Drosophila melanogaster: one gene and its partners. The protein of the gene in region 3 interacts with the protein of the main gene of each other region in a pairwise test. Each region holds a gene or a part of one and is shown on either strand. Other genes may lie near its edges. The genes, in order: CG17364, CG5151 and CG8191.

Region 1 (11,094 bases), on a different chromosome or scaffold from region 3:
CGACCCTACAAGTGCTCCCTATGTCCGCGATCCTTTGCCCAGAAGGGCAACCTGCAGAGCCACACACGTTGTCACACCGGCGAGCGTCCCTTCGGTTGTCCGAACTGCCCCAAGCGCTTCCGGCAAGTTGGGCAACTGCAAGTCCACACCCGGACTCATACTGGCGAACAGCCGTTCAAATGTTCCAAATGTCAGCAAAGCTTCAAGCAACTAAACGGCCTACAAAAACACATGTCAGCACACACGCGAGGGAAGCGACGGACGAGCAGCCAAGAAACAAAAAGAAATAAGTTTAAATAGTTAAGATTTGTTAAAGGTATTTTCATATATTGAATGTCCATATAATAATTTCTTGTTTGAAATCGACAAAGCTAGTAATCGCAACCAAAGTGAGAAAGCTGCTTAAAAACTGTTGTGAATCGATCCGATTATCATTTCTTTATTATCTTATTGTCAATATGAGAACATGAAATTGTTTTTAAAACTACACTCCATATGTACTTTCATTATTAGTCGCTAACTTGTTTCTACTTTAAAAATATATCGAACTTATTTTTAAAACGATGATACAAGATGATTAATTACTATTTTAGTTGGCTACATTTTGCCAAGCGTTGCCAAGGACTATTTAAGAGCTTTTCGTCTGGTCCTTGTGGATCCTTTGGTGTGGGTGCGCCTGTGCATGGTCAACTGGGCCTTGCCGGTGAAACTTTTTTGGCAGTCGGTGCATTTGAAGGGCCGCCTCTTATCCACCTCGTTGCGAGTCTCCTTCTTCGGCTGCTTATCGTTCCGGTCCCCATCGTCCTCCTCCTCCTCCTCCTCGCTCTTGATGCGATCCGTAAAATCCCAATCCTCGGCCTCCAGGAGATCGCATGTCTCCTTGTCGCTTTGCTCCCTCTTCACGCGCGCCACGTATTCCATGGTCCTTGTGTAGCGTCTCCTGAATCTCAAGGCCTCACGCAATTTAATAAGGCACGGTTCGCAAATTTTCAGCGGAAAGCCGTCCCCGGTATCCACTGGATATGCGCTGCAGATATTCAGCAAATCAGCCGGCGTGGGCTCCGGTTCCTTGGTTCGCTGTAGATCGTCGCTCAGTCTGTCCCCCAAGCTCTTGTTGTCGTAGATGTCTAGCAGGTCCTTCGGCTCGTCCATACACACCCGGCACATCTTCACCAATTCATCCATGGCTTCGTTGCTTCCTTCGATTCCAAGCAAATACAATTCAAAAAGAATAACTAAACTGTATCGGATGACCATCAAGCCAAAACAGAAAAATACCAATTGGCGCAATTCCAGGGATGCAACATCTATGCCAATAAATATGTATTTAAATTTAGACTTATTTGTTGTTATATCAAATTAACTTATAAATATATTATTTAAAATGAACAATTAATCTAAAATGAAATGTAGTAGCAGTGAAAATTGTAGAATCAGTTGAAAGTATTCTTCATGTTATATTTTTAATTTATTTTAATTGAAAAACTGTAAAACGGGTTTAATGTAAAAATTCAATGCTTTGCTTGCAAGTTTTTTAAATAAGAAGGTATACTTATTTTTAGAATCATTATTCAAAGTAAAGATTCTTAAAACTAATTATATGTTTAATTTAATATTGATGAAATTAAATGATTAAAATTTTTAAAAATGTAGCGAGTTTTTACTGTAGAAATGATTTCCACTACAAATGGCAAAGACCCCGATTCGCATAAAACTGTTGCAACTTGCGCAAAGTTCAACTGGTAACTGGTCATTGTCTTCTAGGCTTATCGGCTTATCGGCATGGAATTAACTTAAGAAACACCATGGACTGCGGAGATAATGACCCAAGCTAAACTTAGCTCCATTTCCAGCCAAGCGGAGCAGTGATAAGATTCAAAAGACTTGGATTACAAAAGAGTTTATGAAATGTATTGCATATTTAGCGCCCTGTGGGCGTAAAAATAAAAAGAGTACACAAAATAAGAAATATGTAGGCGGGAGCGGGACAATCTACATCTCCACATAAGTGGGCATGGTCATAACACCGCAATTGTTCTTCTTGGCCGACATCAGGATGTAGCCATCGTTGCCCCAGTAGGTGGACCACGAGTTCTTCACCAGCCAGTAGTCCTCTCCATTGATCGAGCCATAGCCCACGGCCAAGACAGCATGATCCAGTCCATCTACATCGTTCTTGCACGTTGGCTCATAGTAAACTCCGTGCGAGTAGAAGCTAAATGTCTTGGGAGAAGCATCAATGGCCACCGACAGAGGACCGTGCTTGAGCAGAGCCAGCTTGAAGGCATTTGGATCGTTGGAGGTCACATTGACGAATCCCTTAATAGGTGCCACCAGCGTCACGTTGTTGACGTGACAGTAGCCATCCTGGCCCAGATAGGGACCGTACTCCTCCTCCGTGGGCACTCCGCCGGACTGCAGCATCCACTGGTACACGCGGAAATCCTCGCCACCATCGCAGCCATTGTTGCCATAGGCCCACGAGCAGTCAATCAACGCCTGCTGGGAAAGCCGGACCAGATTGCCGCCATTCTTCAGGAAGAAGGCGCCCTCCAGGTGACCAATGGTGCCAAATGACCAGCACGATCCGCACACAGATTGATCTAAGGGTAGTTTACGTTTTAAGCAATTCAATATTATCAAATTCATCTAAGTAAGTACTTAGGGAATGAATGAACCCACCTTTCACCGGAGTGACAGCGCCGTATAGCCGCCAGTCGTACTGGTCGGGAATCTCGTCCTTGTACTTGGGCACATCATAGGGGAACGGTTTGCCGGTGTTGTAAATGCCCGATGATTTGTATCCTCGTCGTGCCTTCAACTCCTCTTCGGTCTTGTCGGCCAAGTGATTAACGGCCAGCGTGTAGGTGAGTTTGGCCCTGTTCTTTGAGTGGATGTAGCGCAGGTTCTGACGGAAGATGTTCTTGCGATGCTCGTGTTCCGTGTCGCTGTGATAAGCAACTCCGTGCTTGCGCTTGAAATGGTGGAAGGCCTTGTCCACATGCTCATCGGTTCCGGATATAAACTCCTGCATGGGATTGAAGGTGGCATAGTGACCGGTGCCGGGTCCGGGGAATCCGACGCACTGCAGGCTGTCATCGATCTCGAACACCTCGTTGGGAATATCATCGTGCTCGTAGCTGTCATAGTCCAAGTAGTAATGATCGTAGTGCGATCCCAGCAGGGTGTTATAGCCCCTCATCTCGTAGCGCACGGGAATGGGCATTCGGCTGGAGGGATAATGCGGCGACTTCTTGTACCGCACCCACAGCGTATAGATGTTCTTCTTTTGGCCAATTGTCGACTCCAGGCGGAACTTGTCGCACGTGTAGCCCAAAAAGGATTCGGTGCCCACCAGGCTGAAAGGTTTCGCATCGGGCAGGATGCTCTGAATATCGACAGCCTGGTCGGCGGTGCCATTCACCTGCAGACAGGTTAGCTTGTTGTTCTCCGTCTTGGTGGTAATCGGTGCCAGCTTCAGCAGGGTTCCGTACTGACCCTCGCCAGCCAGTTGGTATGTCTTCACCATTCCGCCGTAGTAATCGATGCGGGATCGCCTCGTATTCTTGTCATACCAGGCGTAGAAGGGTTCCGCAATCTCGGCGTACGGAATGTACAGGGTTCCTTTGACTATGTAGTTTGGATCCCATTTCGGCGGATTCGTGGCATTAGCTATTGTCGTTGGCGAAAGTGTGGAGAGATTCAGATGAGAAATGAGCGGGAACTTGACAATAAGAAACGGTAAAGGGCAGCCATCGAGGTTTAAGCTCACGCCATTGCTTATATACTTCGTATATATACAGCTGCGGTCAAAATAGCAGTACATGCCCTTTTACGTTTATTTGATCTAATTTAAAAGTTTAATAAAAACATGTTCTTTTTACTTTTTAAATATACTTCATGGCAAAAAAAATGATGATAAGCTAAAGTTTCAATCCTAAAACGATGACCTCGATTGTTTTAATATATGCATGTGTGCATTAGTTTAAAGCGCACACAAACGCAGAAACAATTACTCTTTGTTTGGCTAAACACTTTAGCATTCTAACGTCTATAACTCACCTGAGAAAGCCAAGCCTGCGAGCAGGGCTAAAGCTAAAAACACTTGCATTCTTGAGAATTCACCAGAGAATTGTCTGGAATATTAATTGATCCCGACTCTAGTATACTACCTATCTTTTCGAAGAATTAAACTGTTCTGCCGGCTCAATAGTCCGATTGCTTTAACAACAACTTTCTATGGGTGAGGAGATAACGCCGCCGTGAAAAACATCGGTATTAATCGGTTGAAGAGCTTTCTAGTTTGTAATAAGAGCTTATCAAAGTTCTTTGCTTTTTGTCATGGTAGTATTTTATTCTACAAATTATTCGCAATTCTATGTAATCCGTTAACATTTTCTTTTATTTAAGAATTTCTTTATTAGAAGAAATATCTTTTCTGTTCACTTACTGAAGAATTGCTTCTTTATTTTAATAAAATATCATGTGCTTCGATTTTGTAACTTAAGAGGTTTAGTTTGATTTTGCAATATTATTTTAAATATCGATAGCAATTACAATTTTTATTGCGTGCACAGGGTGCACATGATTATACAGATATTTTATACATCTAGTGTGACCAAAGTGCTGAGATTAAATGTTTTTTTTTTTAATTTAAAATATTGGATGCACTTCTTTCTGGCTAAGCTTTCAATAAAAAATAATCGAAAAAACCGCGAATGATCTAATATTCAAGATTAAAATAGAAAAATTTGTCAGAAAAAAATAAAACCGTGTCTAGGGATCAAAATCGGGATTGGAAAAATTCTATTTTTAAATTCGTTAAACAGCTGACAGTCAGGAGGTATAGATAGTCACTCATCTGTCTCATCACAACGACTCTCTCTCGGCTCTCTCTTCCCTTCTCTCTGTGTCTCAGCGATATAAAGTCTCACCCTCTCTTCGGAACTTGAACCTACTCCAAGTTTTGCTGCATTGCGCCCGCTCTCAAACCGAACCGATAGTCGGACAGCACGGGATCCCGAAAGGACCCCGAGCAGATGTCAAGCTACCACCGAAGGAGCAGCATCGTCGTCGTTGTCGTCCTCGCCCACACATCGTTCTTTACCGTTACAGCTGTGGGTTCGGCTCAGTACCGTTAAGTTCGCCAATCGCACAAGTTCGATTCCCAAATCGCATGGTTTTTTTATACCAGCAAGAACTAGACAACACACAGATATCTGGTAATGTTGTAAGACGTGGATTAATGCAAACTGCAAACCGTACAAGTGCGCCGTACAAGAAAACGCAATTAAAAGTGCATTAAAAATTAAACGAAAAGTGCTTGTGTGTGCGTGCCAGTGAGGCAAAAAGTTTTGCCTGCGCCGAATTGGCCAAAGTTAAATGTTTTAAACGCCAAGTTAGGCGAATTATGTGAAAGTTTTAACGCGATAGGCGAAAACAAAATGTTTCTGTAATTGGCGGCGGAGGAAAAGCAGTCCGAAAAAGGTAGCAACGTTGCTGAAAATGAAATCAAACTTTGATTTATCGCTGATTGGTTCCTGATTGGCTGTTTTGGCAGGCCTTTTGAATCCCCACACAAAAACAAGAACTCCCAGACGAACATACATATACATGATCCATCCACATACATAGGTACTACAATACAATACATATGTATGTACATAGCTGTTGGCGTTTATATGTATGTGTTTTTGGTTCAAATCTGTATAGTATTATGGGCATAGAGGAGCATTTCCTGCCCTTGTCACAGTTGTTACATTTTCTCTATTCCGCCGCTCACCAGCTCACACAGTCGGTCATCAAAAAGTCAACAAAAACAATATAAATTATGTTCGTGGAAAAGCACAAGCAGCAGGATGCTAGAAGACCTTGAATGCCTCTTAAGGTGTAATTGGATATTGACGTGGAACGAAAATTGCATTTTGAGCAAGGAATAAGAGCTTCTTTGTAAAAGGATTGTTTGTAATATGAAGCATATTTGTTTTGGCCTTTTAGTGGAATGAATGTGATTCAATATAAAAATACTTTTGACTTCGTTTTCTCTCAATTTTTAACAAGAAATAGTTAACCATTTAGTGTAGATAATCAAAATCCTATGTGCGAAACTAGAGAATCATTTATTTCTCCCTAAAAGAGAAATATGTAAATAGTAACGTCGTATCCATTTAAAAAAAGACTAGTAAATTTAATTTTTAAATAACATTTACCTAAATTCCTGGAACCAAACTGAAAGGCAAAACTTTCTTATTTATGAGCCCTTTTCAAAAGTTTGCCAAAAAACATTTTTTAATTTTCTCACGTTTTAATCTCTCGCAAAACTGGCGAATAGTTCGTTTTGGTAGCATACTTTTACGGGTCACGGAGTCCGTAACTTTGAATTTGTGGGAATCAAAATCTGTAAGGCCCAGCTGACTTGGGCCCCCAGTGAAAGACAAAAGCCAAACACACACACACAAACACTCATAGGCGCGCGCGCGTGTGTGTGTGTAACCAAAAAATTATAAAACTTTTATTACCTTAGAGCAGGACACGTTCCGAAGGGAAAAACGGAAAGTTCTAAAATATATTGCATATACGTATACACGTGCATTTGTGTGCTGCTCTCTCTCTCTCTCGCTCTGAATGTGTGCGAATGTTTTTGTGTGAATGTGATTTGTGTGCGTCTGCGGGTCCTCTTTCGCTGTGTGTAACCTACATTTTAAACGGCATCGGCATCGGCGACACATAAGAAGCCAAAAGCCGTGGCCGAAACCAAGTGGGCGGGAGTCTGGGGGCGGTGGGGCATTTCGGCGTATGTAAATTTGCCTTTATCAGTGCCTAAAAGTAGGACCCCCATACACACACGCACACGAGTGCAGTTTCCGTAAAGCCCTATGTACCGCTAGAAACAACGGTACTCTCTAGGGGCAGGCGCACCGCTCTTCCGCTCTCTCCGACTTGCTCCTCTCAGAGAGGAAGAGAGGCAGAGAGCGGGCCAAGCAAGCTTCGGCGATGCAGAATGCAGGATGATGTTTGCGTTCGTTGCTTCCGTTACCGTTACTGTAACGGTGCCCCTCTCCCTTCGGAGAGGTTCTGAGGTATATCCTAGTACACACACACACACTCACACACAGGAGCAGCAGGATGTGCGTTCATTCACATTGGCATTGCAAGTGTGGGCTCTCAAAAAATAAGCTATTTTGGTCTACATGGAGTGAAAAAGGGTTACAAATTCAAAAAGGAATGCGAATATAAAAATGTATGTACATATAAAATTTTGATTTTATGTTCTCTTATTAATTTGTATTATTAAATATGAAAATATTATTTTGAAATACAGAATAATAAGGTCAATTAAAATAAATAAATGTGATCCTTAAATACACATTACGAAATCAATAATCTAACTAGATTCACACCGAAAACGTAGCGAACATTTTTGATTCTGAATGAAATGAAATTTGTATTCGCAACACCCTTTTTAACAGTGTATGCAATGGCCACTAAGCCCATGCCAATCCCTTTCGTTCTCGACTGCCCTTGTTATTGGACTTGCATTTCCGCTATGGCGCTACTTGCCCCAGCCGGTTGAAATTTATATGCAAAGTGCTGGAAGGGATTGCATTATGCACATTTTAATGGTTTGCCGAGACATAAAAATATCTCGCACTTAAATAAATTGCTCTGCTCTTTGCTAGTTACTCGCTCACTTTCTACGAGTCCTTTGCCCCTATGCCGCCCCTTGTGCTGCTGACAAAAACGCCATCGCTTATAAACGTGTCGGTAATTACATAAACATTCTGCCCACCGTCGGGTTAGAAATATGCACGTATTTTTGTTTGCCAACTAAATGCCTTGTTAGAGAAAATTTCTTTGGAGTGAGCAAACTTTTAGTTTCCCTGCCCTCAGCCACTTTTTGCCGCACCGAAGGAATGGAAAATAAATTGCCCTCGAGAAAATGCAAATTGTTTTTCAAATTATACATCCACAAGGAGGAAGTTTATGTCTTTGTTGGGCGTTTAAGATTTTTATCAAAAAGTGAGCAATGTGAAAAATTTTCAAAAGTTTGATTTATGTGCTAAATATTGCAAAAGATATCAACTTAGAAGAGATATAACTACACTCATGTATAGATTGGTTAGTATAGAACTATTTAGCTAGTAAAGAACGATAAAAATATGTATGTGAAGGAAATGCTCTAAATATTTATCCATATTTCACAAACATGGACAAGATTGTCTCATAATTGAAAAGATTGTTTGCGAGACCTATGTAAATAAATGGTCGTCATTTTTAAATTTCCAATTCATTTAGCCCCAGTCTGTGCCCCATCTGATTTGCATTGCAAAACATGTAAATGTCAAAAGCAGTATCTAAAATGTGACGATCTGTTCCTCAAAGGTGCCCATCAACGTCAGCAGCCACACCTACAATCTGCATATATCGGGCACTTGCCATCATCATCACATCATTGTGAGTGCTAACCAAAGCAACACCACCGACCGCCATCATCCTGGCCGTTATCATCCTCGGAGGCAAACACATATTCCATTATAATTCCCGCCGCTGTGTCCCACTTCATATCCCACTTCTGGCTATTTTTATGCCATTTCTGCATTGTTCATTGTTTAGCGCACATTATCGCATTTTCCTCTTAAGGCATCAGCCACAGATATTACAGCAGCCTTATCCTCCGCTCCCACCTCCCCTCTGATTCCACGTCAGCCCATCGCCTACAATTGCCAATGGTGTTAGTGTGGTGTAATACCCTGTAAAAGCTTAGCTAGTTTGGCGGATCCTGAAATAGGATACTTATAACATTCAGGATCAAAGCTGTTTTATTATTATAATAAAAAAAGGATTTTAACAAAATAAAATTATATATAAGAATGTATAAATCAAATCAAAGTTATCCACAATTTAATGCAACTTTTAGACATTTGCGTAGATAACACCAAATCTAGTAGATACATAGAATTTTCGATAATTTGCAACCATTTCCTGCTTGATATTGTTATTGACTGGTCATCCCAACCTAAGATTCCCGGCGAATTCACAAATCGGTTCATACCCTGGTGATCTGGTGGTGGGGATGTAGGGTGGAAACTAAAACGATGATTCAGATTGTTGCCACACTTGGCTCACTAAGCGGCCCAGCGGGTGCCACAAGAGGAAACATCGGTGTGTGAGTGTGGTTGTGTCTATGGATGTGTGCTTTGCCGCCACCAGCACACTGGAAGATTGGATCTCTCTCGGGCAAACACAAACACTTGGATGCGGAGTGGCTTTCATCTGGGCCGCAGTGCACTGGATACACGGGATTTCTGTTGGCAGTGCCACTGCCAGAATGTCGGCATTGAAATCGAAAACAATGGTCCCATTGTGGTGGCCGATGGCGCTACTCAGGCTCCTCCCTTTTCGTTATCCTTTCGCCATTAAACAATTGTCGCCTGTGCGCATCAGTAATTAAGTGTCCCTGTGCATTTATGTCTACTTGTATGAGGGCATAATTACTATTTATAGATGCTATTGGCTTACGTCTAAATAGAAACACAATGCGCCAAAGCGCTGGTAAATGTAAATGTGGGCGCCTAAAAATATGCAGCAAAATGCAGCTGACTTTGGTAATACTACGCCACTAGAACGATTTATACTAATCTGGCTGCAGAGACTTGTATATAAACCACAACAGTTTATTAAATGAATGTTTCGTTCAAAAAATTTTTTTCCTTTTAAGGAATACTTGATTTTTAGTTGGCTTTCGATTTTAAGTATTCAGAAACGATTTGTAATGATTAGTTTCTCTCCGAAGAAAGATCATTTAAGCCCTCAAATACAAAATTGTTGTATATTTTGGATTAATAATGTATATTTTTGGTAAATTACAAAACGTCTCCTTATCTTTGTATTTTTATATGGATTTTTTGTACAGAAAACAACATATGAAATATTCCCAGACTAATGTAGATTCTACAAGATGTCTCTTGGTCCTCTTAAAAGTTTGATGTAAAAACTTTCAGTGACTATGGGGAATTTATCCTTTTTTCGAACTGCTTAGCCTGTGCGTTTGCGTTTGTTGGCGGCAGTATTCGCCTTCTTCTTGGCTGCCACAGGTGTCTTCTTCTTTTGGGCAACAGGTGTTTGCTTCTTGGCAGACGCGGCTGCCGCTACTTTGCGTTTGGGAGCAGCGGTGGTGGTGCGCCTGCGCCGTCTAGCTCTGCGTGCAGCAGTTTTCTTGGCTTTTTCTGCCTTGGTTGGAGTTGAACTGGAGGTCGTTTCGGCGGAGGAACCATCTCCAGAAGTTTCTGAAGAACTACCTGTATCGGAAGCTTCGCCGGAGGAACTGTCCTCGGAGGTACTAGCATCATCTTCTGAGCTACTGGATGCACCAACACCACTTTCCGAACTGGACTCTACATCAGAGTCGTCATAGTAGTCATCACCATAGTCGTAATAATCGTAATAGTCATCGTCAGTGTCATCAGCACCCGTTACGAAGGCAACCAATATGGCCAGGCTTAAAACCAACAGCAGCCTCATCTTTTTTTTTTTGTATCTATAGAGTCAACGAACAGATAGGTAACCTTAGGTATAAACGTCTGAGTTTAAAAGTCTTCAACACTGGGTATTTATAGTTTTTTCTCCTCTGAAGAAATTTATAAATATATAAAGCTTTTTTACATTATTTTTCTATGTACATCTGTAGAATGCAAATATTGGTTTTTTAATTCATCGTCTTAATTTTCGGTGGCTTAGAGCACCTGTGTGTGCTGCTTGTATTTGTTTAACATTTTTCGATTGCTATATGTTGAAATTATGAAATTATATTTTGTGTTAGAGCACGAAAAAGTAATATAAACTCTTTTATATTAAAAGAGCCAAGGTCACAAATGTCTTATCTGGATTTTTGAACAATTTGTCTATGGTTTACGCGTTAGGCGACCTGCTAGTAGTTTTATAGAAAAAATAGATATGACATTAAACGTCTTTAAAATTATATAATTTTTCAAGTATATGCGGTGTATGTTTTTGTTTATCAAAAATATATTTATTTACAAATGAGGGAAAAAACACGTGCCGATAAAAACTTATGTAGAATGTTTTCTTGTCTTT
Region 2 (10,898 bases), on a different chromosome or scaffold from region 3:
ATGTCTTGTGTGTGTATGAGTGTGTGTCTGGTGTTTTTTTTTTATATAGAAACTAACAGAAATTAGCATTTATTAGCTGCCAGCGTTGTTGTAGTGAAAATGTATGCAGGCGCAAAAGTATCGCGGCGTCTGGCGGATATCACAAAAAGTTGAGTTTCAGATAAGAAAGGAGACGAAACGCAGATCGAAATATACAAATATACAAACGAAAACAATGGAAAAGACGACAAAAGTGCGAAAAGGAGGCGGAGAAACGAATCCGAAAAGTAGTAACAACAATCGCAGAAACAGTAAAATCGAAGCGAAATAAAACAGCAAATTTCAGACTTCGACCCAGACAACTGGCCGATTCCGATTGGAATGAACTGATGACTATATATGAGTCTTCCAGTCGGCAGTCGGCGTGTGTGTGTGAGTAAACTTGATTACGAACTCCAATGATTCGCTCAATTTAAAGGGTATAAATGCGGGAACTATGAGTCGGGTATGCCTAACTGGTTAGTTAGTTAGTTAATTTGATTTAAGATACATTCTTAAATGAGACATAAAATGTAATGTTCCTATCCGCACTTTATTATATGATTTTTCTTCGATTTCTTTCCAAGAAAATATAGAATTCTTTGAATACATGCTAAAAGAATCACTTTTAAATTGTTGTTTAATGTTTTGTAAAAGATAACGAAAACCTTGTAGTTCGGAATTTTTTTTTCGCTGAGCTGCGAACTCTGAAAATGTTTCTAATTTAAAGCTCTCAATAAAACGTACAATGTTTTCTCTCGCGACAATTAGTGTTTTTATTTTTATTTATTATCAACTCAAGGGAGTGAGAGATTGGTAGCCATAACCATAACCACAACCACTCGACTATTTCACCAATTTTTTGGGGGTCAATCAATGAGCAGTCGGCATTGCCGTCGCAACAGGTGATTATCTGGCTGGTCATCTCGCTGGCGATTTCCTTATCGAAATGACTGCGGTCCCTCAATCAGTCGCCGCCCGCCTGCACCGGGGCTATCCCACCCGATCCCACCCACCTCGCCAGTCGGAATGCTCCACTGCAGCACTATTAATGACCTTGGGGAATGTTGTCGCCCGTCGTTCGTCAGTTGCTGTCCGTTCTCTAATCTCAATACTCGCTTGCTGTGTGTGTGTTGGTGGTGCACTCGCAGAAATTAGAATATATTTCAAAAGCTAAGGTGGACTTATTAGATACACTTACATGTATCTTTATAGTAGTATCTGTGTGTAAATACAACAGAATCACAGTTATCTGCAAGTCCTATTTTCTAATATGAAATTCTGTGGAAATACCAAAATGCTATTAAAATCTAAGAGCTCCCTTCCGGAATTCCATGGGTTCAATTTTTTCGAGTGTGTGGTGTTACTGCTGTTCCGATGTTTAATGCTGCTGATTCCGTCGTGGTGGTCATGTGGGTGGCGCGGGAAGTGCTGTTGACGTCGTCGGCCCCGTTGGACAGGTGCTCAAGTCCATGGGTTCTATGGGTATCTCTGTTTTTTTTTTTTTTTTTTTTTTTTTTTGTGCGCCTGTGTGTTGGGACCTCTATACGAAACGCAAAAACAAAAATATAGAGAAAAGCGAGAAGAGACGAGAACTCTGGTGATAAGACCGGCTGCCTGGCTCCACCTTTTCTCACACCGTTCAGAAGCCAAAGAAGCGACGCAGAAGCAGGCAGAAGAACCAGACCAGACGCTTGATAAGCGGCCATGGGGCGTATGAGCGATATATTGCGCGACAGGGACGGTGATATGGCAAAAACAAAAGACCTTGATTTAGCCCTATATATGTACATGTGCCTTTGTGTGTGTGTGTGTCCATATCGTCAGCTGTTTAATTAGCTTTCGATTAATTTTCTGGTCAATCGAGCCACTGTCGCCTGCTTTGCGATTTTCTCATGAACTCTTAACGAAACACTTTTGTTTTAGTTTTCGTTTCGGTTAAGCGAAAATTTTTGGCATTTTTGTAAACGACTGGGGGAGGTAAGTCAAAACATAATGACCATTTTAATGGCCAACCGTTAAGATGTTTGGAATGTGCCGGCCAAGTGAGTCAAATTTTCCGTGACAACATACGAGGCGTATGCGTAACATTCTTATGCTCTCGGGGGGTAAAATTGCAAATGGGTGCGGGGAAAACCCAAGGTGGGAGGCCATGTGGATGTGTAAAGGTAAGCCAAAGACGACAAAGCAATGGGAACTCTTTTACGTGCACGTGTGTGTGACTGTGGGAATTTCCTACAGTCGGGGAAAAGACTTTATGATCGATTTCAATGAATTTGTAACTCGCACTGAACATAATGGCAAAATATAAGGGTACTTTTTAACATTAGAGTATTGACATTCTAAAACATAACTTTGTTCTGATTACACATTTGCTTCCATTGAGAGCCAGTTTCGTAGTAATTTTTGTTTTTTTTTTCCCTTATTCTAGTTAAAATTAAAGTTAGGCGCTTCTATTGACTTCACCACATCTGTATGTAAAAGGCGAAGAGAAAAAAACTGAGACTGAGCCACATGTGAGGGTCTGTGTGTGTTCCTGACTGTTGGTGTGTGTGGTGTGCGAGCGAGCGTGTGTGTTTGCGTGTATGTGTGTGGCATAGCCAAGAGGCAATGGCAATAGCAATAGCAAAGGAAAAGCAAAAGGCAAGAGCAAAAGCAAAAGAGCTGATGAAGAGCTGGCTTACGCATGGGTTCATTGAACGGAAGTGATTTGCCTACTGCTGTGCGGCAGAGAGAGAGAGAGAGAGCGAGAGGGGGGCGAGCCACCTAGATAGAGAGGGGAGATACTACACGCGACTTTGACTTGGTTTTCGTTCGGTTCTGGTTCCTCCTCTATCAAAACTCCATGGCCCGGGCCTTTTGTCTTCACAGCCATATAGCCATAGCAATAACCATCATAGTCAAAGCCAAAGTCGGAGCCAGAGCCAAAGAAAAGCCAGAACCTTGCGGCTCCGATAGAGCAGAAAAGATAAAGCTCTTCTGGGAAGTTCTTAGCTTTTTTCTCAGCCAAAAAACCGTCTTTGCGAGATCTAATCAAAGCTAAGTCAGGCGCTTTGTGTTTCAGGTGAGAAAATCCCGATTTTATGGCGTTCTTTCTAATTAAACTGGAGTTTTTTCGTTTGTTTTTTTTTTAGTAAGAATGGAGAACAGAGTATGGGCGTTTCATAGTGCCATATTCATTTGAAAGAAACTTGATGACTTCTGTAAATATTAACATTACATTAATGTAAGCAAAATGAACTGTTTTGATTAACATTTAGAATTTTTTTTAAATTTTAATGAATATAGATATTAGAACAGACAGTTTTTATAGGCCCAAATATTAACGTCCAATTTATTTAAGTCTTTTTGGATTATTAATTAAATATGAAACGGCATTAGTCCAAAGCCCCAAAAGTCTGCCAAAGGCACACCCCAAGCCCCCCCAAGTTAAATAACCAAATATTTGTTACGTCTGTCTGCCTGACCAACAAACAATAACTAAATATATGTATTTTCCGGTCCCGCGGCTAATTTATTACAAGATGCTTTATGACAGCCACAAAAAATATTAAGGGTCTTAAAAGCATTCAAAACCGCTTTAAAACAAATGTTATACGTGCCACAATACTCTTTTTTCGTATTCCTGTCTTTTGGGGACGGAAATCATTGGCGAGGGGGTGTGATATCTGTCGTCTGGTTGGAAATAGTGAAAAATACCAGCGCTGATTTCAAAATTTATTGCATTTATGTGGACAGTGGACGGGTTTTGACTGGATTTCGTAGCTCTTCCTACGATTTTTTATTGTTTTTCGCTTTGTTTTTGCGCTGGTGTGTGAGTGTTGACAGGAAGTCGCCGGAATGCGATTTATAGAGAGCAGATTTTGGATGGAATATGAATAGCTTATAATTAGATAGCGCACACAGTGCGGCTATCGAATATTGGGCACACTTTTGCAGCTCCAAAGTTCAATTACGTTGTGCTTTTATGGCTAATCGGCTTAAAAAAAAGGTTTTTCCCAATAAAAAAGTGCTTCGCTCACCTTATATCGACGTGATACTCGCTCTTATTTCGATTTTTACTTGTGTATTGGCTTTAACTATTTTTTTTTTAGATTACAATTGATTTAGGAATTGCGCTATGTTGGAGGCATAAATTTCCTAATATTTGTTTTAACTTGACACTTTTTGTGACACTTTTTCGTCGAATTTATCTAAGCAACACTTATATACATGGTTTCAATTTCGATTTTAACTTAATTTTCTTTAATTTGTTTATTTGCTGTTATTTTTGTTGAATTTTTTGTTGATGTTATTTCTGCTTTCTGATGCTTGTTGTTATTTTTTCTGCGGCGATTAGGAATGCTTTTGAGTACAGGAACGCTGGCTATGTGTGTGTGTGTGTGAGTTGAATATGTTGGCTTTGTGTATTTATTTATTATTTGCTGCTGCTTATTTTGCTTCACTTTGTTTGGCTGCTGCTTGCTCAGTGTAAGAACTCTGGCTTGTTGTCATATTTTTTTGTTGGCGTTTCCTACTGCTTTTCTGGGTGTTTTCTGCTCGAGTTTAATTTATTTCCAGCGCGCACGGAACGAACTTAACCGAAAAGCACGCAAAGTTTCAATGAGCGTAAGCGGAAAAACACACGACTCCGACTCGATATTCCATTGCGATTTCGCACGTTTCACCTTCACCACAGAGCGAGAGCGGAACGGGTAGCAGCGGAACAAAGTTGCCTCTCTCTCAATCGCGCTCTCTCTCTCTCTCTTGGTTTTATTTTAATAATTATCGCAGGCGAAAAGCGCAAAACAATTGTTTTCCCTCATACACTAGCATCGAAAGTATGCCAACGCAACAACAACAATGGCGACAGCCATGACGTAACGCCGCCGTGTTGTTGCTAAACCTCCAGTTACTTATTTATTTATTTAGTTTCGAATCAATCACTTGGTTCCCAATAAACTAAGGCACAATCACAAGCACGACACACAAACATTATCCATTCTGCTGTTGTTGTTGTGGCCGATCGCTGGCATTTTTGTTGCTTTTTTGGCGGCGAACGAAAAAACACACACGTCCGCAGCGTCGGAGAGTTTTTGGCGCTTTGGTGCAAATACAAATACAAATCGGACTCGAACGAAACGATGACAACGAAACAAGTTTTTGGGGTGGCAGAGCGCGCAAGAGAGCGCAGAAGAGTGAAAAAGAGTAGGCGCAAAGAGAACGAGGTAATTGGAAGTTTCTAACAAAAATTAACCCAACTCTTTTGTTGTTCGATGCACAAATGTATTTTAGTATGATATGTTTTTATACCCGTTACTCGTACACTACCTCAAGCTGATTAACGGGTATGAGATAGTCGAGAAACTTGACCAGGGATTTCCCGTTTTTATAAAACCTTTTCTCTATATAAATATTACATTTATTTTCAGCTGACGATTAAATATTTGTATAATACATCATTTCATATTATTATAAATGCATCGTTTTAGTTTTTTATTAGTTTCCTTTTTATAATTTGAGAAAAATAACAATTATAAAAGCTTTATTCATTTTTATATAATTTTTTGTATTTATATTCAGTATCAATTAATTGTTTATTTTCGAATTCAGTGGTGCTAGCAACTGTTAAAACGGTTAACATTTTTAATTATTCAATTTGACATATATTCTTGAGTAGCTTCGTTTATGGGTTATAAATTATACCCTCTCATTTCGTCTCATATTATGCCCCACACAATTTGTATTCACTTTTTCATCTTACTCCACTTGCCAGGCTTTTATTTGCGTATAAATATTTATTTCGCTTTTTTTTGTTGTTGTTAAGCTAAATTTCGGTTAGCTCATTGTCACTCGATTTTTTTGCGGTTTTTCTGTTTGCCGACTTGAGCCGCCGTGCAAAGTCCAAGAAATTAAAGTGTCAGACGGGCGGTCGGGGTGGTGGAGCTGCGGGGGTAAGGGGCGCCGGCAACCGCACGTTAATTAAATTTATTTATGCAGCTTTATTTCGCCTTTATTTTATTTTTGTTTGGATTTATTTTTAATGATATGATTCACATGTGACATTCCTTTGATGATACGCGTTTCGACCTTTTTTTTGCGCTCCCATTACTGGGTGATAGTGGGGTATATCATTTGAATGCCCTATCACAAAGTAATAAATTTAAATTTAAACAATTTGACCCGTTTGCGATTTGTTGATTCAATTTTAATTAGTTGATGTGAGTGAAGTAATTACGCAGAAATCCCATAGGCCTATAATACCTAGAGGTAATGAATTTGTAATTTCAGTAATGGGTATCGTAAAGTTTGTATGCTCTATTGCATAACGGTATTCGATATTTGATTGATAGAATATTGGTTTGCATATTTTATAATCTTGCTTCTAAATTTAATGAGGTATGTGCATCAAATTGCAGACCGTTTTTAAATGACTCATTTTGCTTACTAGCAGTATTTGTATCATATATACTCAACAGTCTACAATCGAAACAGCAATGGGTAGCACATATTGTCTAGATCTGATAGTTGATTTCCATATTGGTGAGCCAGACATTGTTGCTTTGTTTTAAAATAGAAACTTCAAATATATTAGCATGTCTGCGGATTTGTTATTTTGTTGCTGGCTAGCCGGTTGTTGTTAATCGAATGTGTCGTGTCGCTCGTAGTCGCCTCAACCCCCAAGCCCCCTTTTGATAATCCACCCCCCCCCCCCCACCACCATTTAACACCCTGGAATGGCATGTTCCGCCCCTGCAACTACAGCACCCCCGCTGCGCACTTTTCAGCCGACTGTCGACAGTCGACGACGGCAACAATAGAGACAACTTATCATGAAGTGCTAATTAACATTGTCTGGCCGGGGTCTCTCACGTATGCCGATGTCTGGCGACCTACCTGCGGTTACTAGGAGAAACGCCCACCCGTCCTGCACCGCCGCCCCCTCGACCACCTCACCACACCGGTTGCACCATCGGCAGCACCTATAACCCAACCGAGCGAAGTAAAAAAAACCCGCAATTCACCCAAAACTGGCACTTGGTCGCGTCTCTCGTCTGTGTTTGCTTTTTTTGGCATACAAAGAAGTACATTTTTTCCTACCATGAATATTCCCAAAAAAAAAGTTGGGGAAAAATACATTAAAAAAAAATAAAAGAATTGTGTACACACACGACGAGACGGAACATTTTTGTTTATGTTGATAATCTAATATGTGCTGACGTATCTTCCCCATTTTTTTCTCACTTTTTTTTTATATATATTTTTTTTTATTTTGATGTGGGGGAAAGACGATTTGTGGGTCTCAGGTTGGCTATTCGCGGTGGCAATTTGCTTTCTGTTGACTTTTTGGCGGCTGCTTTGTGCCACCTGGCCGTTCGATTCATCGGATTGATCGATTCGATCGCATTGGATCACATAGAATCGATGGGATCGATGCGATCAAGTGATCGTGCCAAGGCTGTGAGCTGTCTGTCTGCATTTATAAATAAATTGTGGCAATTAAATAAATAAAATGGATGCATATGTATGCTTTTTTAATTGTCAGCCAGCGCTGAGGCGGTGCACGTGTCGTATACGTAATATGAGCTAGCGAACAGCCTTTACACCATTACCTCATGCCCCACGGCGATCGATTAAACTTTGCCGCGAGTATCGCAATTAAAGTTGCTTGAACAGAATACGTTTAACTGGAAATATTATAAATTAAACAAATAAATCACTTATAGAACAGCTTTAATGTTTCCGCTCCTTGCTAATAATTTCTTAGCAAACTTTCACTCTTCACTCTGATAATCTGATCTAATCTATCTATCTGATCACCACAGACACTTGCTGCCTATCAAATTAGCCAACTTCTAGGAAACCAAACGAGGCGGCCTGGTCTTTTATAGGGTTTGCCTAGGGTATCGCCCACATATGTGCATTAATCTGCATTCACGAGTGTTAGTCATTAACTTGCTATTGTTGTGGCTAATGCAAAAAAGACCACTTTTGACTCATTGCGTCCGTTGGCAGGGCGACAACCGACCGATTCCCATTCTGAATGTGATTGCGATCGCGTTTGTGATGCCTATATAGCTCAGCTCTTTCAGATTTCAGTTGCTGCTGTTTTGGCCTGCTGCGATTGTGATAAGCAGACTGTGGCGAGACAACAAAAGACACATCGCAGACCAGTTTGCACTTACTTCACTTGCACCGATGTTGTGATGCGATGGGTCTGCTTTTGATATTTTTAGACACCGCCAGTCAGCCTGCCGTGGCAGAATATATATATTCTATATATGTGTAACAAGAAAAGTAAAAAACAAAGGCAAATGGCGTTGGCACATCTCACACACAAATCGCATCGCCTCACATGCTGCCCAGACAATGAGTCTAGTCGGGCATCGGTTCAGATTCAGATTCAGATACAGATACAGATACTGCTGCAGATACAGATACAGATGATGATTGCGAAACACACGACTCTTCACTCGGTTCATTCAAAATTTGCCACAATTAATGAAGAGCATCGATAAGTTTGCACACGGAAAAAAACGGGGAACTTTGGTTTTATATCTACCCCTATTTCTTTTGAAATTTGAGTGGTAATGAATATAATGAAATACCTAACCCGAAATTGGGGTTTTAATTATATATATTAAGACAAATGAAATACTTAACTTAAAATTGATTACCAACTGAAATTCCATATATATATTTATATAGATACAAGTGCATTTTCTTCCGTGCATCAAGTTCGATTTATCAACGGATGCAACAGGTACACATACCCCAAAAAGGTTTCACCGCACTAATGAATTTCCTGCCGCCTTTCTCCGTTCGGAAAGACAGCCAGCTCATTAAGCCCTCCATTGACTGGCTAAAGATGGAACAATGGCCAATACAAAGAGCCCTGTCTCGAATCATAACTCATTGAACTTTTGCCGGCAGCAGCAGCCGCTGCTGAAACATAAAAAGTGTCAATCAGTGACTCTGCTGTGGCAACGATGGCGACGCCTCCAAAGTCCCATTACAATGCCATTTTTATGGACACCGCTGGCGGGGATGCTGCTCCAGCTGGAGCGGAGTGAGCAGCTCCATCTGGAGACGAGGAGTGGAGTAGTAGAAGGAGCAGGAGCAGCAGCAGACTGCAGGGTCGTAAATGTAGTAATAATAGTCGCCGAGGGCCAACGCCAACGTTTGCTAGCTGCGGTCGAGATTTTCTGGGGTTGGGTCGGCGCATCAGTGCACTGAGCGAAATGAGGTCAAGTGAAATTTTAATAACTATGCATTTAAGGGATCTTTGTAAACTTAATCGAATGAAAACTACATATTTCTGCTAAACTTTTGATGTGAATAAGAATAATTTAGATATCACGTATACGTAGTTTTTTTTGAATCGTTTTGTAATCATTATTTAAGTTATATTTAATTATTATTTGATTTTTTAGTTTTTTCTTCATAACTATGAAAGCTTTATAATTCTAGCTTAATATACACTTTTATTTTGCCAAGTTGTAAGCGATTTTCTCTCAGTGTGGTGGTCTCGCTTGTCCATTGGCTGGTGTGGAAAAGCAAGACATAAATGTCTAACATATGCTGAGGATGGCTTTTAGAGTTGGCCGGCAAGGCGACAGGTCTATTACCAAAAGCCTGCTAATGACGGGTTATTGCACGCGTTACCTTAAAGACCACAATCCCTAGCATCACTTAATGGTTATATAGATTTCCATCATGGGATTATCAATGAAAGAAACCAAACATTTTATTAATTTTTCATTGCCGCAATATAAATCAAGGACCTCAATTCATTTAAATTTTAAGGTATTTAGAAAATGATATCAGATCACAATATGTCCTCAACAAATTGAAAACTAACATTTGTGGCAAATTGAGGCTTTCCATAAAATATCCAATCGATTGCCAGTAAATAATCACCCGTGGGCAGGGGAAGTCGCATAACATCCGTGGTTAAGTACATATTCCTTACGATCATGTCACCCTTGATAATATTAATATTAATATTATAATATATAGATAAGTGTATGCCACACAGACTCACTTGCAGCGGACAGGTGTGATTGATATTGGTGAAGTTCCTGTAAATATTAAAAAGTAAAATACCTAGAGCATCGTAGGGCTTTCGCAGAAATCGACATCCATCGATTTGAGTATTAACGAGCCAAGGCCTATAGCCGTTCTCCCTTTTAAACGTTTGGTAGTGAACAGTAATACTTTTAGTTGGATATAGGAAGGTGGCATTGAAATTGAACACAGTCCTATGGCGATTGATCGCCTTCAATCGGCATTGATTGATTCTAATCCAGGTTTTATTATAGCTGCCGCAATGGACATTTGTCAGCTTGAAGACGACTGGGTTCTGTGTATATTAATGTATTTTATAAACTCAAAATATTAAATAAAATACCTACACTGGGCTTTAAGATCATTAAACACAGAATGGTCAACGAAACGACAATTTTTAGGACGTACTTCATGGTTTCAAAACTATTAACACACCATCCAGCTTAAGCATCAAATATTTTCGATTTATTAATAATGCTAGGTCATGATATATTTTTAATTTCATTTTCAACCTCTTTTCAATTTAATCTCTTTTATACTAATAGTCTTTTAATACATGGAAAATGTAATGTATTAAAAAATCATTTTAAAAGCTGAAATTCGAAATTATGTAATACTAATGTAATATGTAATGTAATACTAATGATTACGATTGGGTAAGCTGTTTTTATAGAGTAAAGGGGTAAAATATATGTTTTCCAGGATCGAAAACCGAATCAAAAATACCATATCTGTTGAAGAACAATAAAGTTTCTTCCTTGCACTTCAAAACAGCTGAGTAAGAGGTATCTGATAGTCGAGTAAATCAACTTATTATTTATAAAAATTTTTAT
Region 3 (10,145 bases):
TCTGCCTAGCGAGATGCGCGAAGAGGTTATCCAAGAGCATCTGCGCATGCAGCGCATCCGTCAGCGAGCGCAGCAGAATGCCATCCAAATTGCCCATGACTCGCTGGTCGAGGTCAACCCAGAATTCCTCGCTGCCCTGCCACTAAATATACAGTCGGAGGTGCTGATGCAGCAGCGCATCGAGCAGCAGCGACAGGCGGCTCAGACTGCCAATCCGGAGGATCCCGTTGACACAGCTGCTTTCTTCCAAAACCTGCCAGAGAATCTGCGACAAGCGGTAAGTTTCATTCCATTCATGAAATGAATGAATCCATTCATGAATAAAGCTTGTGAGCAAACTAAACCTTTACATCGGTTACAATTTTAGATACTCACCGACATGGAGGAGTCACAGATAGCCAGTTTGCCGCCGGAGTTGGCTGCCGAGGCGCAGTTCCTGCGTCGGGACTGGGAATCTCGCAACGGCGCCCGTATGGACGCTCATCCGCCCAGCAATGCCTTATGTAAGTGTGGTTATACTTGGTAGCTTGTAATTACTAACGATCTCTATTTATTTCTTTAGCAAGGTTCCAGACAACGCTCCAGAGCCTGGACGACACACGTTGGCACAGCTCCATTTGGTATGATGCGAGTGGCAATGCCCAGCCGCAACACCATCAGCATACAACGATTGTGCATCAACATCCCCACGCACATCATGCCCCGAACATGGGCAAACCACTGGCTCTGTTGATGATGGAGGACGAGAACATTCTGCTCGATCCGGACTCGCTGGCCACACTCCTGCTCTTTCTGTTCGTGGAGGATCAAAAGGTGAACAGCATGCGACTGCATCGTGTCATACGCAACCTGTGCCACCACGAGCCCACCCGCGACTGGATCATCAGCGCCCTGATTAGCATAATTCAGAAGACGAACGAGGACAACGCAAACTTCGGTGCGGGCCAGGCGGGTGGCAAGCCAGAGTGGCTGAAGCTGCGTGTGGACGCTGCCTTTGGCTACAAGAGCAACATATTCCTGATTAACCGATTGTACGAGGGCAGTGCCCGGAGCATCAGCATCAATCCGCAGGCGGCACAGATGATAGTGCGCAACTGTCTGGACCTGCTGTTCGTGCTGGCCAAGCACTATCCGTCCAGCTTTGTGCCCTTTAATCGCGATGTGAAGGCCAGGCGTATATTGAGTGCGGTATTTGGCATGCCATCGCCCACCGCCGGATCAGGTGGAGGCGCAGGATCTGGATCTGCAGCGTCTGGCGGCTTGACAGGCTACGATGACGTGCCACCAGGTGGAACTCTGGATTTCCGCTCACGATTCTGTCGCTATCAGGTGGTTAATCGGCTACGTAGCATATTCGACGATCATCCTGCCCCGAAACCATCAGTGCCCTTGGATGAAGCACCCTCCACGTCGAAGGCGGCGGCAGCGAAGGCAGCTGCCACGGCCAAAGTGTCCACTGCTGGGAGCCAGAATAAGCACTCGGTGCCGTACCAGACTAACGCCAAGAACTTCTGGGATGTTGTGCTAAACATCGATCAACAGACACAAGTGCGATTGGCCAATGTGGCCCAGTTTCCGCTTACCTCGCAACCGGCGTGGGAATGGCAGCCGAATACAGCGGATTTTCTCTCGTTCAGCGAATCACCATTCGGCCAGTTGCTGGAAATGCTTCCCTACAAGGTTATATGCCGATCGCCCCATCTTACCGATATGCTTGTCAAGCTGCTCGCCTCGCTCAGCACAGAGCTGCCAAAGGAGGAGGAGCTGTTGCCGCTCAGCGATCAAATGCCCCCACTGGTACCCATTGGTCCGGTGCAGAGAGCGGGAGCGGCGGCGGCAGCGGCACATCCCCCACCACCACAACCACCAGCCGAGAATACAGCAACAGCAACAGAAATTGGTGACGGTCTGGCCGCCAACATTGAGGAGCAGGCTTCTCCGGCCAGTGGTAATCCTGCATCCGGTGATAGCAATGCGGGAGCGAAGCGCACCCAGCTGCCAACTTTAAGTGTGGCCCTGCCGGTGACGCCATCGAAACCGCGTCGAAAGATCTATTCGAAGAACTTTTCGCAGCTTCAGCTGGTCATTGAGGTGCTGACGCACCAGTGCGGCACCACCGAGGGCCTGGACAACGTAGCCAAGCTAATTGTGAATCTAACGCAGTGCTCGCAGGCATCTAGTGCCATTTTCATTCAGTACTTGACCGCTGCGATATTGGGATTGGCCGAGGAGGTACGTCAAGCGATACAGATGCTGCTCAACGAGATTCGCATGTATAACATTCATCAAGGCGGGGCCGGCACCACTTCACAGGCGGCGTCCACTTCCGGGGCAGCTGCAGCAACAGCATCATACGTACCCACAGTATCCGGAGCCAGTCTCTTGCCAAACTTGGCCGTGCACGAGGGCATAATGCAGGATCGCTTCACCGCCGAGCACGTGATCATCTCGGCACCAAAGAATGCCAAGCCCACCTGCGAGTTGCAGTTGCCGTCGATGAAGAAACTCATGTCCAACTCGTCCGCCCAGCCGTACTTCCTGCGAACCTTGAAGATCTTCATGCAGGTACGCGACATGTATGAGGCGCAGAACGGTTTGTCCACTGGCGGTGGAGTCGCTTGTGGTGCCGGCGACAACGACGACGATATCATTGATATTGAGGGTGATGGTGGTGCGTCCGGCGGCAGCAGTTCAGATATGGCTCCCGGGTCTGCCAGCACAATATCTCCACCGCCACCCATGGAAACCAATCAGATCGCACAAGATGGCGATGACGACGAGGAGGACGACGATGAGGCCAGATCTTTCCCAGGAGTTGGCAATCATGCAGTGGCAAGCGCTAGCAAGTCGACCAAGCCTACTCTGAGTCAGATCCTCTGCTTGGACGTGTTGTGGAACACGCTCAGCGAGTGCCTAGTGGCATTGGAGGAGTCCAAGGACGAGTTTGCCGTCCTGGTGCTGCAACCGACCGTGGAGGCCTTCTTCCTCATCCACGCCTCGCATCGCGGTGCGTCCAAGAAGTCGGGTCGCAGCTTTATGCCTAACGCTGCGGGCTTTGGACTGCGTGCAGCCGCCGGCGCCGGTGCGATCGGAGGACTGGGAGCAGCCGCACCATCTGCCCAGGAGTACAGTCCCTTTATGGACGATGTCAGCAGCGCCAACACGCCCAGTTCTGCTAGTTTCGATGGTGAGTTTAGGAAATATGCAAAACATTCTCCATATAATCAATCTGCTACATTTTTAATAACCTAATCACCAGATGAGCCGCGAATGCAAGATGCATCCACGAATACGCCACTTGTGACCAACCCCTCGACCAGCACAGCGATGAGCGCGCACGAGGCGCAGCTGAGGCAGGACCGGCAAAAATTCCTACAATTCGCCGAGAAGCACCGCACCGTGCTTAACCAGATACTGCGCCAGTCACCAACTCATCTCTCCGACGGACCGTTTGCCGTGCTTGTGGACCACACACGCATTCTTGACTTTGATGTCAAGCGCAAGTACTTCCAGACGGAGCTGGAGCGGCTGGACGAGGGCATACGGCGTGAGGAGCACACGGTCAGTGTTCGTCGCGTAACCGTGTTTGAGGATTCGTTCCGTGTCCTGTACCGTCTGGGTCCGGAGGAGTGGAAGAACCGCTTCTACATCGTCTTTGAGGGTAAGTTTTCGAACAATAGAAATGAATAACTAGCGATGTTCATACTTGCGATCTATCTGCCTTACAGATGAGGAAGGCCAGGACGCTGGCGGCCTGTTGCGCGAGTGGTATGTGATCATATCGCGCGAGATCTTTAATCCGATGTATGCCTTGTTCTGCGTATCGCCGGGCGATCGCGTCACCTACATGATAAATCCCTCCAGCCATGCTAACCCCAATCACCTGAGCTACTTCAAGTTTGTCGGCCGCGTAATTGGTAAGTCTCTTAGATACTCCTTCTATATCAAGCGTTCTATAATCCCTTCGATCTTATTTAATAGCCAAGGCTGTGCACGACAACAAGTTGCTGGAGTGCTACTTCACTCGCTCATTTTACAAGCACATCCTGGGCAAGCAGGTAAAGCACACGGACATGGAGTCGCAGGACTACGAGTTCTACAAGGGTCTCGACTATCTGATGAAGAACGACATCTCCACCTTGGGCTACGAGCTGACCTTCTCCACCGAGGTGCAGGAGTTCGGTGTCACCCAAATCCGGGATCTCAAGCCAAACGGACGCGACACCGCCGTGACCGAGGAGAACAAGTTTGAGTATGTGCAGCTTGTGTGCCAGCTCAAGATGAGCGGCTCCATTCGACAGCAGTAAGTACACATATATTTATATTCCATGCTATGGATTTTAAATCGTGCTACTCCCCACAACAGATTGGACGCATTCCTTGAAGGCTTCTACGACATTATTCCAAAGCATTTAATTTCGATATTCAACGAACAGGAACTGGAACTTCTCATATCCGGCCTGCCGGATATTGACATTGAAGATCTAAAGGCGAACACCGAGTACCACAAGTACACCTCTAAATCGGCGCAGGTGAGACCATGATTGTGCATCTTCCTCCATCCTCCATCCCTCTCTAAACCATGTATTTTTTACCCATTCATTAGATTCAATGGTTCTGGCGTGCACTGCGTAGCTTTGACCAAGCGGACCGCGCCAAGTTCCTGCAATTCGTCACTGGCACATCGAAAGTGCCGCTGCAGGGCTTCGGCTCGCTGGAGGGCATGAACGGGATTCAAAAGTTCCAAATCCATCGGGACGATCGATCCACTGATCGCTTGCCCTGTGCACACACCTGGTGAGTAGGGATCCACAAGTCGCATGAATTGTTTGCAATGTCATAGACCGTATTAACTTACCCATCTCTGATTGCAGCTTCAACCAACTGGATCTGCCCATGTACAAGTCATACGACAAGCTGCGGAGCTGCCTGCTGAAGGCCATACACGAGTGCTCCGAGGGCTTTGGCTTCGCCTAAGGTGCGACAACTGTGACGGCAGCTTCAAGCACCAGCCGGCAGAGCCACCAGTAACCAACAAACCATGGACGCAACACTATTCCTACAACGCCCTCAAATACACGGGTGCAACGATGAGAAATGCATAATTGATTTGAATTGAACAGAACAGAAGAGAACAGAACAGCCACTGCAAATTTGCGATAGCGGCAACAGAAACTGCATACATAAACAGTACATATAGTTATATAGTATATATAAAAATGTTGAATTAATTATTAATTTTCGCGCCTATATATATATACAATATATATTTTCTTAAATTTTCAAAAGAAAACGGAAGAAAACTAAGGAAACCTAACAAAAAAAAATATAAAATATAAAACTGATACAGACGCGAAAAGTATATTCGATTTAAAATTCTCTGCGCAACTCATCTTTTTTTTTATTAATTTTTTGGAATCTATCTCTGTCGTTTTGCACATTTTTATCAAAAGAAAAGGATTTATATAAAGAAAAAAAATACACTGACACATTTTCATTTACCCAAACGCGAAACCGAATAGAAAAGGATTAAACGTAGTTTATAGATCGCAAATGCACATAAACAGATTACACACTTGGGTTACTTGTTTACTTAAGTGAATGTACGTACCGAAGATAAAGGGAAGCAACAGAAAAAATATTTAAATGGATTAAAGTATTTTGATGTAAGAGATAAGTCCTTATGTTAATGCATTTTATGTTTACCTTTGAAATAATGAGACGCAGATGTAACTTAAAGAATGTGGAATAAAGAATAAGCTCATTTATCACAATAAATTTTCAGAAATCACTTCACATGCTCATTATAAATGCGGCTGGAAAGGATGGGTACGCCATATATATAAATAAATACATATATAAGGTCTTAATGTCGATCTCATTTAATTTGGGCGCCTTTCAATTTGAAATTCGATTCTATCGCAACGGGCAACGACAGATCGATATCTCATGCACAGCAAACCGATCGACATTATCGATTGTGACATCGAATTTTCGGACAGCTGACAGCTGCAGTCCGTATGGATTTGTTTATCCGAAAAGAACTGAGCCTATCCACGAGCAGCGTGCTTGAAGATGTGGCGCCGCACTGTCTCAAGCTACTCACATGGCTGCACGATTGTCAGGAGGAGATGCACTCCGAGCACCGCCATCTGCGACTGAGCCAATCCGTTGTGGAATCCCTGCTAAAGGCTCACCTGTACCTGTTCGAGTGCTATGATCGCTTCGGGCAATCGCTGGCCGAACGCTGCGATTGCCGTGGCTTCTTCGCTAGCTGCTCTGCATTGGTGGATCGACGGAAGTGTATTCGTGAGCTGTGTACCACCATCGTGAACACACGAAAGGGAGAAACTCATGCACCACTGCTTCATCTTTCGCATCGAACGTTGGCCGAGATTCAGCCTGCGTGGAGTGAGATCGGTGATTTGGACTGGTCGGCAATACGCCAATCGGATGCGCTTTCTTCCAGCGATTTTATCAATCCCGATCTTCAGCAGATGCGACGGCTAGTCAAGCGGATTGGCCGCTTATCCAGCCTTGAGGACATGCAGACCGCAATAAAGCGCTCCATGGAGCTGATTGAGTACCAGGTGTGGCTGCAGCTTTTTAGGGAGCCAAAGGACAGCGAAATTCACAAGGATTGCTACCTAATGCGCCACATGATCTGTGACACTTTATCGGAGGGCGGATCTACCGCTTGCACCGGCTTCCTGCACAATATCTTTCTGTTCGTATCGCAATCCGCCAATGAGATGAGATTCTGGGCCAGTATGGAGCATGTACGTCTGGCCGGCAGCCTTATTGCCTACCTAATCGACCATTGGAATCGCCACCTGCCCTACCTAGACTTGGATGAGATGCAATTGACCGCTGATGCACCAGTCACGGCTGTCTCGCAGCTGCCCGTGAACGAGGCCACATACATAACCTACCTGATGCTGGCCACCGGATCCATATGTCGCCGGCAGTTCGCCCAGCAGCTGCGTGCCCAACTACCCCCCAATTCCTGGACACATTTGCTGGAGCTGCTAAATAAAGTGGCATTCGTTTTCACTTAACTACACTACGAGTTTAATCATGTTTCGGCAAAAACTCGCAGTTGCCATCGGTCAGGCGAACCACCTTCTCGCCCTTCTCGGCCAGGATCTCCTCGATGTTGCGCTTGCCGTCCAGATCTGTGAACCAGTTCAGATTGTCGGCGATCAGGTGGTGATTGGAGCAGCCCTCGCAGGTCACGATAACAACGCCGCGTTGGTATGCCAGCTTCGAAATGGTCTTCATGTTCCGGGTCTGGCACACCTTGCAGGTGTAGATCAGCTGCATCTTGGCCTCCAGTTTCGCCAGAGGAATGCTATTCGTGGCCACCGTCTTGTCCGCATCGTCCTGGGAGCAGAGCAAAATAATTATACTTAACTTTTTTGTTATACATAATTTTAAATATTGCATTCCATTTATAATATTTTAAATTACAAATGTAAATAACATTATTTAATATCAATTGGGTAGTTTATTTGTATTTACAACTGATTTCCAAACATACCACTGGCTTACTGCAGTGTATACTGCGGCAAATGCACGTGTAGTTGTTGCTGCTGCTAAAAACAGCTGTTTGTGTTTTGGTTGCAAAGTGATGCACTTGCAACTGCAATTGTGGACTATTTAAAGCATCAATTTGTGTTCTTCGGGAACTGGTAAGTAGTGCGCCTCTTCTCACACCTGCGCTGATTTTATAAAATTTTTTTAGGGCGGACATATCCTCGATTTTGTTGATATTATTTAACTCAATCGAAAAGTGTGAAATTCATTTAAACTTAGAGATGGCACCTCCTTTCATTTCAAAACTAGTCGCGAGTCACGATTTTAAAAAGTTACTATAGCTGTCACTGGTGCTGATAAAATTTGCTGTAACTCACAGACATTAAAACCAATTGTTAATATAAATTCTACTGTGAAATATTAAGTTAAGTTATTAATGAAGTCCACCTGGACTCTGGGGCTTAAAAATAACTTATTTTTCAAACAGGTAGTAACCGTTTCTCCGCTATCCCGTGACACTGCCAATCGATGACATCTGTTAATGCCATCTCACGTGATACTATCGACAGTACTATCGACCATCTGGTAGTAAGCACTCATATTTTCGAATTTTTTTTGTGGAAATTCTCGAGTCAAACAAATTATATAAAGGGCACGAACCGATGGCGACACGTGTGGTGGCAACGGCGACAGTGCGGGCGGTGAAAGGCCGGAAGTTAATCCCGACGCGGGCCGCTCTGACTCTGGTAAGGAAACCAAAACCTGGTGAAATCGGCGCATGCTGCTGCTGATGAAGTAACAGTCCCCTTCGATCTGATGATTCTGATCTCCCCCAATCCTTTTCAGACACCCGCGGCGGTGCTACGCATCAAGACGCTTCTGCAGGACAAGCCGGACATGGTGAGTGACTGCTGACAAGTTGTCATCGAACCAAGGCTACACTTTAGTGGGCATTCTATCGCCTTCCACGATTGAGATCTTGATAATCTCGCCTAGCTCTTTAAAGGTTCCCGTGCATGTTATTTAAGTTTTAGCACTGGTTGCATGGAGTATAGGAAGTTCGCAAGAGGGCTTCTTCAAGCATTATATTTGACAATAGGCTTTTTCCTCAGTCAGTCATATATTTTAGCGCAAATTATTAGCTATAAATATAAGCCATGCTAACTAATTCGGCCTGCGTTAATCAGCTAGATTTTCCAAATTTTGACCCGACCAAATTTTGATGAGCATGTTTATCTTGTTGTTAATCATTTAGTTTTTAAGTGATTAAATTCTTTGAATTGAGACAGACTTATTAGAATACCGAGTTCTTTGTCTTTGGTCAATAAACAAGGCTGCCTATAAATTAGCCACACAGTTAATGACAGAAATTCGATGTTGTTTCTGCCACAGGTTGGCCTAAAGGTGGGCGTACGGCAGCGAGGATGCAATGGTCTGTCCTACACGCTGGACTATGCCAGCCAAAAAGGTAAGCCACTCTGGACAGAATGTTGTTCGGTGGAGATCTAATGCTGCGTTCTGTGTCGATTTTTGCCAGCAGACAAGTTGGATGAGGAGGTGGTCCAGGATGGCGTCAAGGTCTTCATCGACAAGAAAGCGCAGTTGTCGCTGCTGGGTAAGTTCATACCAGCTTAGCATAGCATTGGACAAGCCAGCTAATACAGAGTATAATTCGCTTGCAGGTACCGAGATGGACTTTGTGGAATCGAAGCTGTCCAGCGAGTTCGTGTTTAACAATCCGAACATTAAGGGCACATGCGGCTGCGGCGAATCGTTCAGCATGTAAACCGATGGAGATCCGGAGGAGATCCGCCGGCACCCGCCTCGCAGACAGACCTAAATTAACTAAGTTAAATGCAGTACGCGGCCCGACCTTGTATCTCATTACGTTGTTGGCAAAAGCACCGCATCCTTTGTAAATTTTACTTCGCAAACGAATTCTAAATATTAAGTTGTGTTCTATAGTTAAATTTTAGTTGTAGCGCTAGGTAAGTGACGCACCCGCTTCCTTGCCGCAGGCTGGCAGTTTGTCCTCTTTAGCCCTAGTTCAATATATAGACAAGGAATGTTCTAGAAAACCCATGTGCAAATCAAGTTTATTATTGAAAAAATACTTCGACTACGTGCATGTTACCGCTGATTGATACCCTGGAAACCGTACTCCTCGTAGTCGTCTTGCGTGTAAACAAACTCTTCAAAGTTGGGGCTGGTCGCAACCTCCTTGCCGCCGTACCACGCGTACCGCACCGGATCCTCGGGACAGATGAGTGACACTTCAAGATCGTCGGGCACCAGGGCACGTAAATCGCGCTTTAGGCGCGGCAGAAATCCCGGAAACTGGGCACTGCCGCCCACAATAAGGATGTTGAGCAGGAGTTCGCGGTGCGCTTCCCAGGGGCAAGCCTTCAGACAATCGGCCACCGCTTCCGGAATGCCCACCTGTTGCACACCAATGTCCGAGGGATTGAAGAGCAGCTCGGGCACGGTGAAACGTTCATTGCACAGCGACACCATTTGCTGTTGCTCCTCATCCTCGCGCGGCTTTCCGGGAACACGAACATAGCCCCGTTTGACGGTGGTGAAGTCTGGAAGGACATAATCAACTGTGA

What was found.
Region 1: the proteins of CG8191 (region 3) and CG17364 interact in a two-hybrid assay, tested with the Drosophila melanogaster proteins (one large-scale study listed by BioGRID).
Region 2: the proteins of CG8191 (region 3) and CG5151 interact in a two-hybrid assay, tested with the Drosophila melanogaster proteins (one large-scale study listed by BioGRID).

Annotation. Positions count from the first base shown.
Region 1 is NT_037436.4:13,987,369-13,998,462, reverse strand, and holds the start of CG17364 (uncharacterized protein), read left to right. Parts: upstream 1-5,062; 5' UTR 5,063-5,487; exon of another isoform or gene 5,488-5,634; intron 5,635-9,836; exon of another isoform or gene 9,837-10,035; coding exon of another isoform or gene 10,036-10,521; exon of another isoform or gene 10,522-10,585; intron 10,586-11,094. Other genes in the region: CG17359 (uncharacterized protein), read left to right, coding at 1-300; CG17361 (uncharacterized protein), read right to left, coding at 625-1,257; CtsK1 (cathepsin K1), read right to left, coding at 1,993-2,603, 2,683-3,672, 4,063-4,111; CG9040 (uncharacterized protein), read right to left, coding at 10,036-10,521.
Region 2 is NT_037436.4:16,159,629-16,170,526, forward strand, and holds the start of CG5151 (uncharacterized protein), read right to left. Parts: upstream 5,074-10,898; 5' UTR 4,041-5,073; intron 1-4,040. Other genes in the region: CG33796 (uncharacterized protein), read right to left, coding at 9,827-9,982, 10,043-10,360, 10,413-10,478.
Region 3 is NC_004354.4:15,726,171-15,736,315, forward strand, and holds CG8191 (uncharacterized protein), read left to right. Parts: upstream 1-6,007; 5' UTR 6,008-6,020; coding exon 6,021-7,058; 3' UTR 7,059-7,071; coding exon of another isoform or gene 7,072-7,383; 3' UTR 7,384-7,493; downstream 7,494-10,145. Other genes in the region: HUWE1 (HECT, UBA and WWE domain containing E3 ubiquitin protein ligase 1), read left to right, coding at 1-277, 368-503, 563-3,187, 3,260-3,661, 3,729-3,917, 3,982-4,303, 4,367-4,532, 4,607-4,797 and 1 more; CG12379 (uncharacterized protein), read right to left, coding at 7,072-7,383, 7,541-7,753; MagR (magnetic receptor), read left to right, coding at 8,199-8,282, 8,383-8,436, 8,929-9,004, 9,074-9,151, 9,219-9,322; Arp6 (Actin-related protein 6), read right to left, coding at 9,667-10,145.